Sus scrofa: one gene and its partner. The protein of the gene in region 1 purifies or fractionates together with the protein of each later gene. This does not show direct contact. Links are inferred from orthologs where the notes say so. Each region holds a gene or a part of one and is shown on either strand. Other genes may lie near its edges. The genes, in order: TBCCD1 and PPP2R1A.

Region 1 (3,815 bases):
GAGTTCCCATGTGGCTCACGGAGTTAAGAACTATACGTAGTGTCCATGAGGATTTGGGTTCCATCCCTGGCCTCACTCGTTGGGTTAAGGATCCAGTGTTGACGCAAGCCGCAATGTAGGCTGGCAGCTACAGCTCTGATTTGACCCCTGGCCTGGGAACCTCCATATGCTGCGGGTGTGGCCCTAAAAAGAAAAGAAAAAGGAAAAAAAAAGGATTACATGGGATCTCTCTGTTCTTACAGCTCCGTGTGAATCTACAGTTACCTCAAAAAGTTTAATTAAGAAAGTAACAATTTAAAAAATATACAGATTCGTGAGGTTCCATGTTGACAGTTGATTGACTAGGCAGGTTTAGGTGATCCTGAGAATTGGCATTTTTAAGTTCCTTAGGCATAGCAATTTTTAGGCTGGTTGGGAATCAGGACGAGTATAGCTGTAGTCCAAGATGTACTGCTTCGCTTTTTTTGCCTCTCTTATATGTGTATGGGAAGGAGTATGTGAGGATAGTTGTGGGCTTCAAATACTGAGCTTCAGACCACACACTTTTTCCAATAAGAATTGACTTATAAACATTTCTCAGGTAAGTAGTATTTTTTTTAAGTCAAATACCCTTTTAAGAATTTGATAAAAACCTGAGGTTAGGTCTGCTCTCCCACAAAATGTATATACACCCAAAAATTACATACAATTTCAAGTGTTGCACTGATATTCTAAACTTTCTTGTTAAGTTTGTGATTAGGTTAAACTAATCTCTATGTCTTGTTTAAGTTTCCTTTTTCCTTTTTTTCATCTGTTTGTTCAATTACTAATTATTATTATTATTATTATTATTTTTGACTGTCCCGTAGCATATGGAGTTCCCCAGGCCAGGGATTAGATCCGAGCCACAGTTGTGACCTAAGCCACAGATGCAGCGGTGCTGGATCCATAACCCACTGTGCCAGTCCAGGGATCAAACCGACGTCCCAGCATTCCCAAGAGGCTGCCGATCCCCTTGCGCCACAGTGAGAACTCCAACTAAGATTTTTTTTTTTTAACTGTAATTTTAAACTTGTGAAATAATATACTTTAAAAAAATACATGCTTCATCCTTTCCACTTCATCTGTTTGAGAGAGAATGTCTATGGTCATACATGCTACATAGCTTTCTGAGAAGCTAAGAAATTTTACCAGTTTAATTAGTTTGAGAAACTCCTACATCTAGGTATCAGAGACATGCATATCAAATGCTAGCAACCTTTCTACATTTGTCTTCTTAGGATCAGCACACTGTTGGGTATTTACTATGTCTGCTTAGTTGTAGGCTAGTGGTTGATGTGGTTTTAGGACATGTGTTCATCATTTATTTTCTTCTTGGACAGCTTTCAGTGGACACCCTGCAGTTTCTGCTCTTCTTATATATACAGCAGTTAAACAAAGTCTCCCTGAGGACATCTTTGATTGGAGAAGAGTGGCCTAGTCCCAGACACAGATCTCAGTCTCCTGACCTGACTGAAAAATCCAGTTGTCATAATAAGGTACTGTTTAAATTATGGTCTCTTTCTTTAAAAGGGACAATTTGTGAGGGAGAAGGTTTGCCTTCATTAAAAGTTACTTTAAATTACTTATATAAGCCAGAGATTTGCTGGCATATTTTGTTTTGTTTTGCTTTTCACTTTTTTCCCTAATTATAAAACAAAATATGTGCAATCTTGGAAATCCCTGATGGCTCAGCAATTTAAGGATCTGGCATTGTCATTGCTGTGGCATGGGTTTGATCCCAGGTCTGAGAATTTCCACATGCTATATGCATGGCCCCCAAACAAACAAGAACAACAACAACAAAACCCCAAATATGTGCAATCTTAATCAAAATAGAGAAGCTACTTCACTTCCTTCAATAACACAAAAATCACTTAGATAATATCTGGGCAAATTATTCACTGTACTTCTGTTAGCATTCCCATTTTTGCAAATATTAATGCATTTGATTTCATATGAGTTGGGGCAAGTCAGTTCACTTCTCTTGCTGGGCTTCTTGACTCTAAACAGGGATGATAATGCCAATTTCTGAATAGCTGTGAGAATTCAGTAATGTATTAGCATGAGACTTGTTGCATAGTAAATACCTGTATATGGTGACTTTAGTTTGTGCTATAGCATGACTTCTCTCAGCATCTGATTGGACCGGGGATGGACACTTGACTAGAGTCACCCATTCCTAGTATGTATTTGAAATTTGTTGGATTTGAAATGATGATCTGGCTCAATCCATACCCCCAAAGACTGAAGAAAAGACCAGTTGTGATGGGTGTTTGTGCTGGTAGCTCATGTGGCATTGGGACCAGAATAGCTACCACATCCATCAGTGACCTGGAATTATGAGATTAGCAACTCAGAGGTAATCAGAGAAAAAGAAGAGAATGGAGCAGACATGCAGAAAGACCTGAGAGAGAACCAGGTTCAAGGTGGCCTCCAGGTCCAGTTCTGATGAGGCCTCCTTGTACTTCAGTCCGGGAGAGGACTATGTGTTCCTACAGTAAAATTTCCTTTTATTTGAATTAACCTGTATTGTCTGCTAGTGACAATTACCACCAGCTACCCAGGCTCTCTCTGTCACCACCCATACCTAGTTAGTTGTCAAGTCTTGCTGGTTCTGCCTCCAAAATAACTCTTTAATAATTTATCCCCTTTTTTGCTCTTATATAGGCCCTACTTTGTCACCCTGCTTTTTATCTGTAGTCCACCTACTACACTGGACTTTCTAAAATACAGACCGATTCTATCCATCTCCCGTCAAAACTCCATCAGTGAATTCTCATTGTAATCGTTGTTTTCATCTTGTACTCACCATGGGAGGGGGGAATGTAGCAAGAGGGAGGAAGAGCAGGTGAGGCCGTGGCAGCTCTACTTTAATATGTTCTTTGCCATCCAAATGAGAGTTTATTAAAAATAAAAAATGGTATGGCTGTTTACAAAATAGTCTGAAAGTCTCTGGCGCTCAAAATAAAGTCCAAATGTTTTAGTATTTCACCCAAGGCCTTTCATGAATGGTCGCTGCCTACCATTTTATTTTTTTAATTATTTTTTATATTTTATTTTATTTTGTTTTTTTGTCTTTTTAGGGCTGTACCCACGGCATATAGAAGTTCCCAGGCTAGGGGTCCAATCGGATCTGTAGCCTCTGGCCTACACCACAGCCACAGCCACGCCAGATCCAAGCCGCATCTGCGACCTACACTACAGCTCATGGCAACTCCAGATCCTTAACCCACTGAGCGAGGCCAGAGATCAAGATAGATACTCATAGGTACTAGTCAGATCCATTTCCACTGAGCCCAACAGGAACTCCCTGCCTACCATTTTAAATTCAACTGCCACTTCCAGCATACTTCCTACACCCTATTTAGAACTTCCATGTCTCTGAACACAGCAAGTCATTTTACTCCTATGGGCCTTTGGATGCTGTTGCCTAGGCCTGGAATGCTTTCTTTATCTGATCTGTTTGCATAACTGCCAACATCAATCAAGAATCTGTTCAGGGGTTCCCGTCATGGCGCAGTGGTTAACGAATCCGACTAGGAACCATGAGGTTGTGGGTTCGGTCCCTGCGCTTGCTCAGTGGGTTAACGATCCGGCGTTGCCGTGAGCTGTGGTGTAGGTCGCAGACATAGCTCGGATCCCGAGTTGCTGTGGCTCTGGCGTAGGCCGGTGGCTACAGCTCCGTTTGGACCCCTAGCCTAGGAACCTCCATATGCCGCGAGAGCGGCCCAAGAAATGGCAAAAAGACAAAAAAAAAAAAAAAAAAAAAGAATCTGTTCAAACTACACTCCGCT
Region 2 (3,815 bases), on another chromosome or scaffold:
GTGGGCTGAGAGACAGCAAGCAACTTGCTGTTATTAAGCTTCGACAGCCAGGTGTTGGCGTCAAACCCAGGCTGCCTGCATGGCAGCCCTGAGACATCACCGAACCCGCAGCCCCTGGGACCCCTCGTGGCCGCCCCCTCCGCATACTTCTCCAGGACGCCAACACGCAAGGGAGCTGTCCTCGTGAGCATCCGGGGAGAGGGGCTCCAGCCTCCCCCGCACCCACGGGACACACACCTGCCCCGGCCAATGCGCCCGCACAGCCTTCCCAGAGCCCCCGCCCAGACTCACCGTGATCCACAAGCCAGGCCATGCACAGGGAGTTGAGCTTCTCATCAAAGAACTCCACCCCCTGCAGGAGAACAGGCGGGAAGGGGTTGAGGGCGCCTGGGGAGTTGGCAGCGATCCCCAGGGAACCCCCCCTCCCCCAAACAGCTGGGACATGTCCCATCTTCACCTGAGGGGCTCTGTTCTTCGTTCTCATCTCACTCTACCCATCTTGTGAGGCCCTATCTCCTGGGTACTTTCCTCCGCCTCCTGACACCCCTCACCTCCCAGGGAGCCCTCGCGGCCCAGGCTCCCCGCCAGAGCCGCACCCACAGTCTAGCGCCCCTGGGCAGTACACCCGGCCCTGGGCTCCGCGCTCACCAGCTGTCCGGCCAGCAGTGGCATGTACTCAATGATGGCCAGCCGGACCCGCCACTTGGCATCCTCGGCCAGCTCCACGATGGCGGGAAGCAGGGACTGGGACAGCTGCCGGATGCCAATCACCTCATTGACGCAGTCCAGGTTGGAGATGATGTTGAGCCGCACCTCCGGGCACTGAGCAGAGGAAGGGGGTTCTGAGGGAAGGCCCCGTGCGCCAGCGGAAGCCGGGACAGGGGGAGGGCTCCACCGCCCAGCTTCGCCGAACACACATCGCCCAAGGGCGGGGCATGACTGCCCACAACCTGCTCCTGGCCCCGGGGCCGCATCAGAGGCCCCCGCAAAGGGAGCAACATGGATCATGAGTGGAGCAGCTTTTCAACTCTCACAACAGCAGCACGAGAAATGTGGAGCCAAAGCCCGGTGCCCTGGAAAAACAGCCAAGATGGTACCCAGCTGCGCCGTCTGCCAGCGGGGAGCCTTGTGGCAAGGGACCTGCCCTTTCCGGGTACCAGTCTCTGACATGGAAACACCCCTCATCCCAGAGGGTGGCTGAGCCTACGGAACCACCTGCCAGCGTCTGATCCACAAAGACCTTGACGTGAAGCTTAACGCTTTGCTCATTTCTCTTGCTTTTATTCTCCCTGCTAGTCTCTGAGCTCTGCTAGAAGAAGCATGGCTCACTTATCCTTATGTCTTGGGACTCAGCAAGGTTTCTAGGCCACAGAGGGTGCTCAACACATTTCTGAAACCAAGGAGTAAAGAATAATTTCTGAACCGCTAGCTGACTAGTAATATCTCGAGCTCTGCTCTACAGTAAGGGCACACACACAGGGATCCCCGGCTTCTCGAACGTTCCCTTTACACCACTATGGGTAGATGAGAGACCTCTGCTTGTACCTGCTTCTGCTCACCAAAAGAAACCCAAGGATTTTTGCTTTTACAAATAAGGAAACTGCTTCTTTGTTCCACAGTGCTGTGGCATATGGAAGGTCGCCCAGGAGTGCTCCACCTGAGGGCACCAGGACCCTGCACCCCATGCACCCCCATAATCATGCGAAGCGGCTTGTAGGAAAAAGCACCGAAACAACCATCACGTCGCACCGCCTCTCTGCAGGTCACGCTTTCCTGGATGATAAGACGCTACGGTTACTTCATTCTACGTCTCCCTCCAGGAGCTGAGGGGCGAGGAAGCAAGTGCTGAAATCCATCAATGCACCAAATAAGCAAGTGTGCAGTAAAAGGTTAAAAAAGATGGCCCCGGGAGTTCCCATCGTGGAGCAGTGGTTATCAAATCTGACTGGGAACCTTGAGGTTGCGGGTTGAATCCCTGGCCTCACTCAGTGGGTTAAGGATCCAGTGTTGCCGTGAGCTGTGGTGTAGGTCGCAGACACAGCTCGGATCCTGAGCTGCTGTGGCTCTGGCGTAGGCTGGCAGCTACAGCTCCGATTCGACCCCTAGCCTGGTAACCTCCATATGCTGCGGGAGTGGCCCAAGAAATGGCAAAAAGACAAAAAAAAAAAAAAAAAAAAAAAAAAAGACGGCCCCAACCAGCACCTGGACCATCCAGCCTGATTTAAAAAAAACAAAAAACAAAAAAACGGGGTCTTTTGTTTACTTTGTGTACTTGGGGGCCTCGGGCCATGTCAGATAGATTATGCTGACGAGGTGATTTATGCTGGGTACCTGGGGCCATGTGGCATCAGCCTGACCTCTGCAGTGGCTAGAGACAGAGTAACCCAAGGTCAGCCATGCGTGCGGCCCCATCCAGGCCTATGTGATCAGACCAGGCCCCCGTAAAAACCCTGGACACCAAGGCTCGCCAGCAGCCTCCGTGGACGCCATCCCACGCAGGCGCTGGGAGAAGTGAACCCAGTCTCAACTCCCCTGGGAGTTCCAGGGAAACTGGCACCTGGCCTCTTAGGCACCGTTCCCCTTGGCTGATACTCATCTGCATCCTTTCGCCGTAACCCAGAGCAACCATGAGTGGAACAGCTCTTCTGAGCTGAGGATGGTTGGGCAAATCTTGGACCTAAGGGTGGCCATGGGGTAAGACCCATGAGCAGTAACGGAGAGCAGTGGCCGCGGCGGAGGATAGGACAGCCTCAGCTGCTGGCTCCACAGTGACAGGCCCCTCCGACAGGCCCTTGGAGAAGTGCAGGCGAGGCCCTTCTTCCTTCGTCAAAAACACCAAGAGTCTCCTTTAGAATGAAAGAAAGGGAGTTCCCATCGTGGCGCAGTGGTTAACGAATCCGACTAGGAACCATGAGATTTCGGGTTCAATCCCTGGCCTTGCTCAGTGGATTAACGATCCGGCGCTGCCGTGAGCTGTGGTGTAGGTTGCAGACGCGGCTCGGATCCCGCGTTGCTGTGGCTCCGGCGTAGGCCGGCGGCTACAGCTCCGATTCGACCCCTAGCCTGGGAACCTTCATATGCCGCAGGAGCAGCCCTAGAAAAGGCAAAAAGACAAAAAAAAATTAATTAAAAAGAAATTAATTAATTAAAAAAATAGAATGAAAGACAGCGGTTTCCCGCCAGCTCGTCTAATGGCTAAAGCAGCATCTCAGCGCCAAGGCCGCCTCCCTCCCTCCTCAGGCCCAGTGCGGCTCTTCCTAAAGCCGAGGGCTCGGGGAGCGGGAAGGAACAGTCCCGTGTGATCCGCCTGCCTCGCTTCCAGGCACATTCCTTCACATCCTCCGCCAGACAGAGCTGCTGCAAATGCTGGTGAAACACTGGTCCATAAGAACATAAAACAGACATTTTTACCTTTTCTGCAAAGGACACTGTATCCAATGAGGACAAGAGCCTCAACCGTCACAGCGGTAATCAACAGCTTCTCAGCCTCCCCTCTTTCTCTAAAGGAAGATTTCCGCAGCGGGAATCTCCTATGTCTGCCACCATCTGCACCCCCAGCTGGGGGGTGAGATACTTCCGTACGTATCAGAGTCTACTGCTGGGTGATCACGGGAGTGCACAGATGATTCGAGTAAGCCGGGAGGGCCCAGACGCGGTCAGACGCCAGGGCCGGGAGGTGGGCGCCCCTCCCTCCGCACAGGATGGGTGGGTGCACCCATCAGAGCCAACCAAGAGCAAGACTTCTTCCTTGAAGAAGCTGAAAACCAACTGGATAGAGACCTAAGTTCACGTACGTGAGCTTAGAGGGAACTCAA

What was found.
Region 2: the proteins of TBCCD1 (region 1) and PPP2R1A purify together in Homo sapiens (affinity purification with mass spectrometry; 4 studies listed by BioGRID and IntAct, counting the BioPlex papers as one, with this or other methods). This does not show direct contact. The link is inferred for Sus scrofa from reciprocal best matches to the Homo sapiens genes TBCCD1 and PPP2R1A.

What each region holds. Positions count from the first base shown.
Region 1 is NC_010455.5:124,377,686-124,381,500, reverse strand, and holds part of TBCCD1 (TBCC domain-containing protein 1), read left to right. Parts: intron 1-1,361; coding exon 1,362-1,517; intron 1,518-3,815. UniProt on the Homo sapiens protein: Plays a role in the regulation of centrosome and Golgi apparatus positioning, with consequences on cell shape and cell migration.
Region 2 is NC_010448.4:57,933,702-57,937,516, forward strand, and holds part of PPP2R1A (serine/threonine-protein phosphatase 2A 65 kDa regulatory subunit A alpha isoform), read right to left. Parts: intron 823-3,815; coding exon 649-822; intron 353-648; coding exon 292-352; intron 1-291. UniProt on the Homo sapiens protein: The PR65 subunit of protein phosphatase 2A serves as a scaffolding molecule to coordinate the assembly of the catalytic subunit and a variable regulatory B subunit.